Drosophila melanogaster: one gene and its partner. The protein of the gene in region 2 interacts with the protein of the main gene of each other region in a pairwise test. Each region holds a gene or a part of one and is shown on either strand. Other genes may lie near its edges.

Region 1 (6,142 bases), 2.3 Mb from region 2:
TACAGTCACCTTTTCATTGATTCCCAGCTGAGGCTGTCTTTGAACAACTTTTTCCTGTCTGCACACACTCGAAATGTTACTCTGTACTGTATAAATTAATGAGCATCCTTAATTGTTCATATTAACTAATGTTTAAGTGCGAATAAAACTCACTTGTAGTTAAGTTATTTAATGGGTTCTAAGACTTGCACACATATGTTAACTATATGTATGTATAAGCAAGAGGCACAAAATTTCATAAAATATCCCACAGCACATTCATATAAAATTTGATTTGCATTCGAAATATGTAAGAAATTCCCCATAAATACCTGACTAGCTGAGCAAATAATTAGGGGACAACAAGCGATCACAAATTGCCAGAAGGAGAGGATATATAGGCAACCTGATAAATACCAACATGTCCAGACTTAGCCATTAATAACTGGTAAGCTCAGCAATGTTGTTGCGTTGCTAACTATTTTTGTTCACAGACAGCAGAGGCAGCAAAAAAAAAGCGTTTGTAATTATAACGCAAAAAGGCCGCGACAAACTCATTTGTCCATAGTGAAAAATTCACATTACACAGCGTCGCTGCCTGCGGAGTTATTGACATGGAGAGAGGTGAAGATTGGGTAGATGCCATTTGAGGCCTGGTCAAGATGGTCAGTGGATGGTCGGTGGATGGTGGCAAAATTGCCATGACAACAAATCAAGCATCATAATGTGTCAAGCAATGCATCAAGTGGCCCAACTGGAACGTCAAGGCAGCTGCGATGAAGCAAACGCATTACAACGTAATTGACGAGAATTGTCAACACTCCTCGGGACTCCAGAGGCATCGTAGATGGCATCGGGATGCCTTGGCATGTGCTCATCCTCTCCATCCTCCCCTGGATGTTCCAACACCTCGAACCCGGCCACTTACTTTATTTATCGCAATTACCGATTACAGCTAACTTTATGGCTTGCCAACCAGTTTCTTGTCCAATTGCAATTGCTGCGAATTGTCTTAACGCATTTTCTTGCGTCTTTTTCGCCTGACGATATTTTATTGTCATTGCCTCGGATGTAAGTAGGTAGTGCTGGAAAGCTAAGTATAGAAATTGTATATAGAGTGAGAGATTCAGTAATGAGTATTGTGAATAAAATTAAACAGGTTCTTTCATAGCAATATAATGTTTAAATTATCATTCAAAGTAAAATTTAACAACATTATATATGAGCCTAAAGGATAATGTCTCTTTTTCAGATCATGTAATTGCTTTTAGTCATTAACTTATTCAATTAGTTTGCCAGCTTGCAGTTAATTTATAAAATGCTTTCGCTTAGTATATTATGTTTTCCCCTGTGTGAAGAGTATTCAGCTTATTAAGAAGTCCAATTAAATGACGTTCCATAACTTTTGCAAACAATATGCCTCTTTTACTAGCCACAATCGCGATTAAACTCGATATCCGTACTCAGCTTCGGTTTCGATTCAGTTTATGTTTCGCTTGGCAGTGACAGTTGATGGGATCCTGTCAAATGAGTATCTGTCAACAAGCCCTCAACATTGTCGTTTTCAATTTTCGGCAGGATACCAGTGAAGGATATTTATGGTCGCTGTGGTGCTGTGCGAAAAATTATCGAGGCATTTTGATCGTATTTCTTAAGCTCGTTACAGTGGGGAACAATTTCGTATGCGACGCATAATGAGTTGCAACTTGCGACTTGCAACGAGTAGAAGTGAATGTTAAAGTTGTCCCTTCGTTGTCTGCGGTTGTTGATCTGCTGCCGTTCCTGCTGCTGCTGCTGCTGTTGATTATCCCTTGACAGGGCATCAAATGCGAAAACGACCGCCCAATTTACATACAATGCACATCAATCGAATGGGCTACAACTACAGTCCTGTCACTGCCACCGGGCACCTTTGTGGCATCATCGGTTTTCCCCATCGCCTCCTATTTTTTTTTGTTGTTGCTGTCCTGTATTTACCCTTTTACCCAGCCTTTTGGGCCCGGCAATCAAGCGTACTTGTTGTACGACTCCAGCAACTGGCCAACCGGCCAAAACGACCGACCAACCGACCAACAACTTTAGCGGCCATGACACAAAGATTGACAGCATGTCGTCGCTGTTTGGAAGCCTGATTGACATGAGTAATCAAGCAGCCGAAATGTGCCCACAAAACGCAGCCAGCAATGACACTGACAACGAAACCAGCCAACCAAACCACGCAGCCTTTCGTTTGCCCCTTTGACTGACAACGATGAGTCGACAGCGACGGCAACTGGCAACTTGCAACTTGCGACTCTCAACTTGCGGCAGCAACATTGCGGCTCTGTGCCACGTTCAGACCACTGCCATAAGGGCAATTTCGATGATGAAAGAAGGGGGCTTTCACTGCTCCCAGATCTCGACTTTTGGATGCATAAGCCCAGTTACCATAATCAGTATCAATTAAACCACAACTGTTGCATAAAGTTATCTAAACACAGCAGAAGGAGCATAATTTAAGGCATTGAGGGTACATAGAGGGTACCAAAAGTAAAAATAGTAATAAATACTAATAAATACTTAGCATCATATAACTGATGGTCCTTGAATCTGTTAGCCATGTTCTTCTATCCCTTCTTTCTGAACATTCTCATCCAATTATTACATTCCCAGCTAATTCACGCATCAAATGCAAATTGCATTCAAGTATGTTCCATCCAGCCACGTAGCTCTTCTTGCCAGACTTGAGCACTTTCAAAAATCCGTATCCTTTGCGGATTACAAAACAGAACCAATATCCCCATTGTCAACTCGAATGTGGCCTTTGATGAAGGCGACACGACATTGACAGACGGTAGCCGATTGACTGCTGACAGGCGGACTGGCGGGACAACAGTCCACCGAAAGTTGGGATCCCGATCGGGATCGGGAAACGGGACTGGGATTGGGATGGGATGGGATTGGAATTGGGATTGAGGAGAGCAGACAAGCCTTTCCGATCTGGCCAAAATGAAGAAGCCGCTGCCGAGGGAGAACTGCAAACTGCAATTCTGATGACTTTTTGTCAGGCCTGATTGACGTCAACGACTCGAAGACGTTTGTCAGGCATATAAATCTTTTGGCTCGTTTGTTTCTTGGCTATGCCCACATATACCAATCCCAATCCAAATCCGACTCCAAGCCGGGGGATTATAATGGCCGACAACGACAGCGATGCGATGCATAAACAATGCCACTTTAAATTGGCAATTGTTGCGACAGTAAATTTTACAATGAATTACTACACTGCCATTCTTTTCTTTCCTCATTTTTATGTTTATTTATTTTTTTTTTTTACGGATTTTCGAAACAACAGCTAAATAAAAGGGTCGAACTGGCAGTCGAATATAATTGCACGTCTCTGGGGCGAAAGTACGACCTGATCTTGAACTGCAAATTGGGGCGTAACTAAAGACCGATTTACCAATTCTTTTTTGAAAGTTTAACCTATGGGTTCGATTTATTCCAACTATAAAAAGGCCGGGTTAAAGGTGTTTTAGGTACAGTTCACTTTGGTCTGGAGATCAGACAACAGTAGTCTAGCTAAGATTAACTCATAAACTAGCTGCGGTACCATGGCTCAAAAGGTGAGTTCAGCAAAAAAGGATAACAACTAAAGCAAATTATTATTCACCTCGATTTTCCTTAGTTTTTCATCGCCTTTGCCCTCTTGGCCATTGCGGCTATTCGGGCAGCTCCTTTCCATGGCCACGAACACCACGGTCATCACGGTGGAGCCACCAGTCATGCCTCCGTGCATCTAACATCGCACGACGATCATCACGAGGAACATCACGGTCATCATCACGACCATCACGGGCATGATGATCACCATGACTCCCATGCTGAGTATGACTTCCAGTACGGCGTCAAGGATCAAAAGACTGGGGATGTGAAGTCACAGAGTGAGTCACGACATGGCCACACGGTTACCGGACACTATGAGTTGATCGATGCCGATGGCCACAAGCGAACTGTCCACTACACGGCGGACAAGCACAAGGGATTCGAGGCTCATGTCCATCGCGAGAAGCTCCACGATCACCACCAGGCGGAGCACCATGGCCATGGACACAGCGGCTACGAGGGCGGACACGTTGAGTTCGAGGAGCACTCCTCGCAATCCGGACACGACTATGGCCACGGACACGAGGAGCACGGTCACGGTCATGGTCATGGACATGGTCACGGAAGCAGCTCCCACAGCTATTCGCTGAAACAGGAACACGGACATGGGCACGGCCACAGCCACGGTCAGGATCATGGTTTCGAGCACGGACACGGTTACCATTGAGTTGACCCCTAAGCTATACAATTGTTTATCAATCGTTTATTGAACTCTTACCAAATACCTATTGTTGTTATACCAAAATAAATCAGGCAAATATTTTCAAAATTGAAATAATTATTTGATTTGAAATGGACAAGAAGTGTAACTAAAGTTTCCCTAAAACCTATTAAAATCGAATTATAAAGTTTCTATACTTACCAACGAACTATTAACTTAAAAAAGAAACAAATCACAGTAGATAGCTCTTTTCGATACATTTGGAATATTTAAACATTTCAAATTATTAGTGAAATTTTAGCATATTTAGCATATGGTGATTTATGAATTGAATAGGCAGGCATTCGCGACTCAACACCAAGACGAGAATCGCATAGACCGTAATTTGGGTCAGAATCAGTAATGTGCGACACGACAGGCGAGATATATCACAAATTCGATTATTATAAATCATATTTGTACAGTTTATCCATAAATTAGCCCGCATATCTATCTATTCGCTGGCTATTTCAGGTGGCTGAAACTTGTATTTTTTATGCAAGCATACACACATATTGTATATATGCGTGCACATGGCGATTTTTTATGGGCGATTTCTTTTCACTTCTAGTGGTGGCAATCGGGTTTTCGGAGTTGAAAGTCCTTTATTCATCCGCGCACACCCATAAATCAAATATATATATCTCCCTAGCATTCGCGAGTGCGTGTGTTTTTGTTTGTTTGTTGCTTTCCCCTCAGCCCGAGTTGGCTACAATTTGTTTAACAGACAGGCTCGGCACATCCTTGCGTTATCCTGTTGCCCTCGTTTGTTGCTGTATTACAAATGACTGTGGAATATTTATAAGCATCATAAATTTAATTTATGTCGCCGCTGCGCCCGCCGCGTTTATTGTGCGCATAATAAACGCTCCACAAAAATCCCTTCTCGACCCAACTCGACCGGGACTCCAGTTGCCTCTCGCTTCGTGTAATTTATTATTTTTATACGTTCCATGTGTTTGTGCGGCACGCACTTTCTACATTATGTAATATACGAGATATAGTGCGAAAATTGCAACAGCTATTACTTATATTTATTATGGCACTTTTTGCCGGATTTTTGTGCTTCTTGTGTTGCAAATAATGATTAATTGAGGTTCATTTTTTCATATTGAGAAGCTCAATTTGTAGGTCAGAAAAACAGAAATTATACTAATAATTTGTTAAATAAATCATTTGAGTAGATATGCGCAAATATTGTAAAAGAAGCTTTCAATTAAGAAATAATACGTTTAAAAATGCTTCATTTCAATAATGAAAATATTCCCAATCAAAATAAGTATCAGTATATTAAGATTATATATTATCTCATTGCGATTTCTGATTATAAAAAAGAAATTATCAACTGACATTTAAGGAAATTATGCGTTTTGTATTTTAATTTTCCTTAATCACGATCCTTAATCAATGCGATTCGACACTTAATGAGCTAAAGTGAAAAATTTACATGCCACCTAATGCAATTGAATCATAAATTTTGTTTCGGAAAAAATTAAATTGAAATTAATTAAGCTAAGCTTCAAGGGAATGTGAAGTCGCTGTTGGCACAGGTCGTAAATTCACTTGATTACGATTTATTTGAAATGAAATCAAAGCAATAAAAAACACAGTTGCCGAAACGCAAAACGGAATGAATTTTTAGAAAACCGAGAAACTAACCCCAAACGCGACGATCCATTTGCATTGCAAATTGCTTTGTCAAGTGAGTTTTGAGCTCTAAAGCGGACCATTCGCGCATAAAAATAAAGTAAATATATATTTTATGTTTCACTTGTCGTCGTTTAATGCCATAAAAATGGGTATGTGTCTTATTAACTG
Region 2 (7,926 bases):
GACCGGCCAGAGTTTGTGGCAAACTTGTTCTGACTTTTGTTACAATTGGCGATTCCTTTCTTTTTTTTTTATTCAGCTTTCTAGCGCTGCAAGACAATGCACCATAAAACTGCAATGGAGTTGTGATCGCTGTTGTTTTTTTTTCTTTTTCCTGGCTGCTTCTCACTCCACCCATTTCCATTTCAGTTGCCATGCAAATTTCTGACTCGTGTTGTTTTTCCGTCTCGAATGTTTTCCTCTTTCCGGGCACATTTGTCAAGGTGTCTTGTAAACAAGGAAACCGGGCAGCCCAAGAAAATCCAGAGACTCCAAAAGAATCCAAAAGAACCCCAAAAGAACCCAGAGCCAAGCACCGTTAGATCAGATGCAGACATAGTGCTTATATAACGCATTGCGCCAGCCAATTGTGTTTTTTTTTTTTATTGGTTAACTCTTTAGGCCATAAATGGTAGTGACAAAAGTCGGAATTTATGGCCCGCTGACAGCTCTGATAAATAACCCAAGGCCCGACTTTGGCTTAGAGTGGCCCAGGGTTTGGTTTTTGTATTTTGTACTTCAACTGGCGTTGGAATGGGGCGTGCTGCAGGTGGGGAAAGCACCTAAGAGAGCCATAAAATGTTTTATCTTCGACTCTGTTCTTGCAGCACGTCGCCGTGAGGAGTCCGAAGTTAATTAGCAGGGAATAGATGGCTTTTAAAATTCCTCCTCCTGTGGCAATTAATCTGACAATGCGTTACAAAAAATGTGCCGACAGAAGTCAAGGAAGCACATGGGTTTACGTTTTATTGAAGCATAGAACAAAGGTCATAAAAAGGAAATTTATATCTCCCCATTAAATTGTATTAATATCTATGGGAAAAATGACACCTAAGTGTCCAAATAAAATACATTTATATATAAGCTAGGTACTAAAATGTTTGGTTACATAAACAACAATCTAATAGATTAATTACGAAGCCCATATTTTGCATAATATAAACCTCATATATGGACCAGCAACACCCTTTTATAGGGGTAGGTATATCTAATTTCCATAAGTCTGCTTATTTTCCGTGTATTTCGCTGATGTTATTCGGATAGTGGCGACACAAAAGAAAGAGATTCTCCTCATATGGCCAGGCTAAGTTTGGTTTGGTTTTTGCTTTTTCGCTGCCTTCTTTATACGTGCACTCTTTTTCAGCTGCTTGCCTCACCGTTGCAATATCAGATTACGTGCGGGCCAGCTTTTGTTGTTCTTGGCCGGGTAATGGGGCCTCTCCTTAAGTGCCCAGTGCTATTCGGCATATCAGATGTTGCTAATGTGGCCGCGCTAACTGTGGGCTGGACTACAGCGCTCCACTTGAAAGGAGAGTTTAGATACCAGATACCAGATACAAGATACTTTTTTTTTCGACCTTGAGATGGCGGTCGAAGCTCAGCTCCCGGCCCTGATAATCGAATTTGTGGCACACCACACTTTGGTCAGATTATCGAGATGACCAAAGGGCAGTCAGGAAGTTCTTTTGATACCTTAAAGATATCAAGTGGCTTTGTAAGCTCATTAACTCGACTAGGCTCTACAAATTTCTGGTAAGATTATTATTTTTTACAACTAATTGCGTAAGTGAATAAAATGAATTTATTATTCTACGATTTTTGACAAACATTTTTAAAATTTTCTTCAGTTTCTCAAAGTTGAGACTTACATAGAATATAGGTCATTTATGCACCATATAATTGTCGTGTATTTCGACTTCCAGTTAAAGACATTATTATATAGCCTAATGAAGCTTTCTTCCCGTCTTCGTACCCAAGCTCGTAGATTTCCTTTAGCTCCCTGAGTTCTTTCACTAACATTTTCAATTGCAGGCAATTAGCAAATTCTCTTTTGGCTCGCCTTAATGGCCGTCTAACGTAAAATGTCGTCTTACACACGAGTTTTATAGCTTCCGCTTTGCATTATCAAATATTATTGGTGTTGTTCTACCGCTTCTTATAGCTTCTTCTTTCTACCTTCTTTGCGATTGCATGTCGTCACGTCAAGCTCCAAGAAGTGGCAAGAAGAAGCAGTAGAATCGGCGCAGCAGCTGGATGGAAGAGAAAAAAACCCTTGGCTATCTAATGATGATCATTAGGAGCGGTACTGTAATCACACAGAAGCCAAACACAAACTCAAACTCCCAGCTCAACCTTAAGCCAGTTCTCCTTCTTCTAGCGCAGCTGCTTCTTCTTGCTTCTTTTTGTCAACATAAAACGGTAATTTCTTAAACAAAAAAGTAAGAACAACATCACAGTCAGTATCTGAGTAGCAAAAGATTACTCTGAACATTTATACACAGGAAACAAAGACGAGTATATAATAATGACAAGGTAGATCTTAGAAATCCACATTTTTTCTTACGTAATGTATTTTGAAAGATTTATTTGTATTAAGCCGAAAGATAGATTTATTTTACTAAGTATTACATTTAATAAATAATAATAATATCTTATTTTATATTCCCATTTTAGGATGGACAAACTTTGCCCAAAACTTGTACGACGGTGATTTTTTTCTAAGTTATATTTATCTTTTATTTGTTGACCCTCCTTTTTTGTGCAGTGTAATTAAAGCCAGTGCAACCTACATTCTCTCCCTTGATCTCCACACTCTCGGTCTTCTCCCTTCTGGTTTCCCCGGTTTTCCAATTCCGAGTGCGTTTTTTGCGGCTGTGCGACCATTGTAACGGCTTTGATTTGTCTTAGGAAGTCGCCTAAGTTTTTTTTTTGTCGGCGTTACCTTGGGTTCGTCTTGCCCCAATTGAACCTCCCCGCTTTTCTCACAGTGTGCCCCAGTGATGCGACTTTTTATGTTTGCCTGCCGCTGCTGGCATCTTAACAGTTAAATGCTTAGTTTACATCATTAGCATGCCGTTTCCAGATATTTTCTTTTCTTTTGGCTAATAAATAAGCAATTTGGTGGCTGCTTCTTTTACTGTCATCGACTATTTCTTTAATTGGTCTGCGCAAGCTGGTAAGCATTATTTAATTAGCATAGATTTGCTGGGAATCGGAATAACTTGATTAACATTATACAGTTGGGAATTTCATTTCTAATTCAATTAAATAAATACACCATTTACTTTTTATTACCAGAAAGTTCGTTGCCTCAGTCTTTCGTTTGTATTGAATAAAATATGAATTTTCATGTTCTCTTTACGCTTTGATAAATACGCAAAGAAGTGCAGAAATCTTTGATAATATTATTAGAGTCTTCCAAGAAACGAATTAAAATGTATATGTTGTTTTACCGCACTCATTACACCTAGATCAACACACAGGAATCGTTGCCTGTGGAGTCAGTTCGTTGCCTGAGTCTTTCGATTGTGTGTGATTTTGCTTTTGTCTCTGCGGCCGCAAGAACGAGTGCACTGAAGCATGGTCTTTTGGCTCCGGCTGTAGGTTTTTGTGTGTGTCTACTAGTATTTATTTATCTGGCCACCAAGTCGGTGGGTTCTATTAACCATGTAAACAATACCGTTAACACGACACGACGCGGAAAATGCTTTTGGCAGCGGGAGCGAAACAGATAAATGAAATGTGCCGCAAGAATTTGCCAAGTTGGTGGCGGCAAAGAGGGACGTGCCAACTGCATATACCACACCCCCCCCCCCTACGGTAATGCATCACAGAATTGAACAACAAGAACAGCTACGTAGAAAAAAAAAGCGTGAAAAAGAGGCGACAGGAAAAACGGTTTGAGGAAAACACTTATTAAATTTTAGCATGCCCAAAGTGTGGAAAGAGCTGGCGGCGAGGCCACAAAGAACCGCAACAACGACCCCAAGAACGAACCAAGAATTCCCAATGATGCATTCCTGGAGTTTTCCGCAAGTTCACATACCTGTCCAGTCTGAGGTTTTCCTATATCCACTCTAACTGTGGGGCACAAAAACAAAAAAGCATTGAATATAACTCCACAGCTTAGTTTATTATTGATTTGTTTGTTTGCTTATGCTTGCACTTCACCACTGCCACTCAAGGGTTCGATCATCGTTGACCACAAGAAGTGTCTTCTAGTCTTTGAGTCTTCGAAGAAGAGTCATTTATTGTGTTTTTTTTTTATTATTATTTTTATATCCACCTTGCGCGTATGGTTTTCTCGTTCTGAACGCGTCGCGTGCTGTTTTCAAACTGAGGCTCAGCAACAAGTTCGAGTTGCTTTTAAGAAAAGCATTCGGAAGAAAGTTGTCTGCATACTGAATTCTTTTTCTGTTCGAGCGCGCCAAAGATTCTCGTTCGAAAGCTGCAGCGAAAGAGATATATTCTCTCGAGAGAAAGAGAGCATCTGCTAAGAGAGTCTTCTCCATTCCACCGAAGGGAGATTAATTGCTGGTTGTACTGCCGATAAGCATGAAATGTCGCTTGTCCGCAGTTTGTTGGCCAATTAAAAATTAGATTTCGCTTTAGATTTTGTCCATAAGATTGGCCAAAGTTCGCGGAACGATTGCAAAGATAAAAGTTCGGACGGGCTATTTTTTTGAAAAATAAAAACCTTCAATAGTTTATTTAAAGAGTTGAATGAACTAGAAAGTGACAAGCTGCCTTCATTGACACCACACATAATTGTCCGTGACATGTGATTAAAATAATGGTGTAACTTTTGCGGGGCTTTACTTTCAACTTCATGTACACAAAATTATACCTAGCATAATGCAAATATGAATATTATTTGTTAAGACAAGAATTTATTTGTTCACACATATTTTGTATATTTTACACTATTTACTATTTTTTCAAACACATTAGTCACTTTATTTGAATCAACAATGCAATCTATACCTCTTATTTATGGCCCAATCATATCTAACTCATTTCAATAATCCGTTCTTCCCTTTACCAATTATAAAACCATTCGCAGTCTTTCCGACCGCAGAATCCCGACATGAAAAAATATAATAATATATACTTGCGTGTGTATATACACAAAAGACCATAAAGCACAGACATTCATTCCGATGCCAAATGCCGACGCCAATAAAGCCCCCAAGTAAATAATTCCAGGCATTACTCCATTACTCATAATGGCGCAGCCAAATGTCGCGGTCGCATCCTCATCCTCATCCTCGTCGGCGGAGGAACGCAGCAAACGATTGAGGGAGCAGGGATCTGGAGACTGGCGACGGAGGAGCAGCCGCCCATGTTGTTCGCCAGGTTGCATAAATCTGTTCGATTCATAACACAAAGATTGCGAAGGAAGCACAGTGATCTGGCCTTGCCTCAACTTTGCTCAGATGAATTTCTTTTGTTCAGAACGGAGATGACATCGTGAATGCAACATAAGTTTGTATTCACTTTTATAAACTAAAAACTCTTTTTAAACTTATACTAAACAAATTTTTTGAGTTTTAAAACTTGTTCTTCATAATATGCTGCAAATGATCGCAATTGATTACTCTCTATAAGAAATGCAACTTCCACTTTTTCGAAATTCGGGTGGACTCACTGCGGCATCTCTGGTTCCCGCATGGTGACTCCTTTATCAGCCTTGTCTTCATCGATCGCGTCGGAGATTTTGTCCGTCTGATGGAGGCGGGGGTCCGTCGGTGGGTCTGTTCTGGTGGACTCCCCTGTCCATTCCCGTTGAGTCGTCGCTTTGTCTTGACTCCTTGGCCAGGCAGCTTGACTGGGACTTGGAGGCGTGTTTGGTTGGGGGAATGGAAACAGAATAATATAGAATGAAATATTTATCGCCATTAGAGCCTGATTAGCTGCGGGCGTGTTCTGGCCATCGTTCTTTGGGCCACGTTCCGCGCTCTTGGCCGCCTTGCTTGCGAAGCTCTTTTGGAGGCACTTAATAAGCTTTGCTGGTGTGATTGTGATGGGAAATTGATATGTCCATTCAATTATGTACTGGTCGTGTCAATAAACTGATTGCGATCGTGTCCAGCAACTTACCGAGCAATTAGTTTCCCAATAAGAACATTCCGATCAATATGATTGATAAAAACAGCGATTGAAGAGGAGTGTCTGGGATGAAATGAAATCTGGACGTGCTGACACCAAAAGTGAGACGGATTCAAAAGCAAAACTCATTCCAAGTGCTAAGTTCCCTGGGGAGTATAGTGCTCAGAATAGTTGTGCAATAGAAAAATGGAAAGTTAATCCGGATATTTCTTGGTAAAGATAACATCTTGTTGACATTACCCTTTTTTGGTTTATATTCAGTTTTTTATAACAAAAGAAAAGATAAAGCTTATTTTTATATCTTTATTTTTGCTACTTCTTGGAAAGCTTTATCTAGTTAAAATTGGGTTCACATATAAGTTGGATATCTAAAACATTTATAGTCTTATCTGATTTACTTTGTTATAAAATATATATATACATTGGTTACCATCTTCTTAAACTAGCTCTATTTATTTATTAGATAAGATAATTCGACATATAACAAAATGTATATAAATGCTTTTAAGTTCTTTCAAAGATACATTACAATCAATTAATGCATGATTTTAAAGACTCTAAAAGTTGTCATTTATAATAAGCACGTGATACTGCAATCTCATAAGTATTTCTTTATTCAGATACTATCTTATACTCCAGAATTCATTTCTTTTGGTTGGCTGCTATCCATGTTATGAACGAGGAGACCTGGACATACACCGACGGAGAGTTGGGCTGACCACATGGAAGTTTTCCCCAAGACACGATGCCGATTAGAACGTTTCCCTGGACCAGCGGACCACCGGAGTCCGAGGTGCAAAAGCTGGTGCCGCCGGTGAGAGGACCTGTGCACAGGTTCGTGGTGTGCACATCCTGACCCTTAGAGCCAAGTGCCGCAGCGCAGGAGTCGAGGCTTATGATGGGTATGTTCTTCGCCTCCTGGAGGGTTTTCGGATATGAGGGGCTATTCGTTTTGCTAGTACTGCCCCAGCCAAAGAGGTCAGCCTTTCCAGTTGGCCTCACGCCGGACGATGGCAGCTTCACCGGAGCCACTGCAGCGGTCCAAGTGAAGGCGGTGGGCGTGTAAATCAATCCGATGTCATAGGGCACAGTTCCGCCGGTATAAAGATCATTGATCACATAGTGGGTGATTTGCCTCTTCTGTGTTGTGCTCGCTGTTCCGGCCACCGCAATGCTTCCAGCCACCAGGGTGCTTCCAAGTACTTGATTCCTATTGGCCAGGCAGTGAGCAGCCGTTACCAGCCAGTTGGAATTAATGATGTTAGCGGCGCAATAGTGAGTTCCTCCGTACTGCATGGACACTATATACGGAGCACTATTGGCCGCCGCCGCTTTTCCACCCACAACGCGTCCTTCGGGTTGGTCCAAGGCTAATCCAGATCCTTGGGAAACGCACACCGCCAGCAGGAGGATAGTGGCCAGGTGGCGATGGCGCCACATGGTTTGTTGTCCATTCGCAATCATGGTTTTCACAGAACTGTTTACATTGGCACTATCGACGGCTTTTTAAATTAATTCGTGATAAAAAATTTCATGCGAGCCAACCGAGAATATGATAAGAACTTTCAATCAGAGCCCTTGTCTTTCAGATAAGAGCCTATTATAACTTAAGATTATACGATTTTATATATATATATTTCTCTCTTGTTATGATAGACTCAGTCAACAATGAGAATAGATGCAAAAGGGTGTTGAGGGCAATATCTCAAGTTTGTCATTCTGTATTTTCGAGGGGATCCCCGTCCATTGATAAGGAAAATATTATAAATATAATATCTATAAGACCATTGTTAAAAAGGTTAGTTCTGGTAAGAAATGTTTAGATTTTGAAACCATAGTCTCAACATTATTTACTTAACTCACATATTTCACAATGATTCGGTTCGTTATTCTGTTATTGTGCAATGTAAGAAATTGTTATTTACAGCCCGAAAATATGTGAAGCATATAAATCTGTTCGTTGGTTGCTCACCGTGTTCCTCTCTCTTTACGAGATAAGAT

Evidence for each region. Proteins that work in one complex are often made in the same cells at the same time.
Region 1: the proteins of CG17211 (region 2) and Cpr35B interact in a two-hybrid assay, tested with the Drosophila melanogaster proteins (one large-scale study listed by BioGRID).

Annotation. Positions count from the first base shown.
Region 1 is NT_033779.5:14,422,562-14,428,703, reverse strand, and holds Cpr35B (cuticular protein 35B), read left to right. Parts: upstream 1-3,514; 5' UTR 3,515-3,572; coding exon 3,573-3,584; intron 3,585-3,646; coding exon 3,647-4,291; 3' UTR 4,292-4,389; downstream 4,390-6,142.
Region 2 is NT_033779.5:12,110,587-12,118,512, reverse strand, and holds the start of CG17211 (uncharacterized protein), read right to left. Parts: upstream 4,154-7,926; 5' UTR 3,863-4,153; intron 1-3,862. Other genes in the region: Phae2 (phaedra 2), read right to left, coding at 6,568-7,365.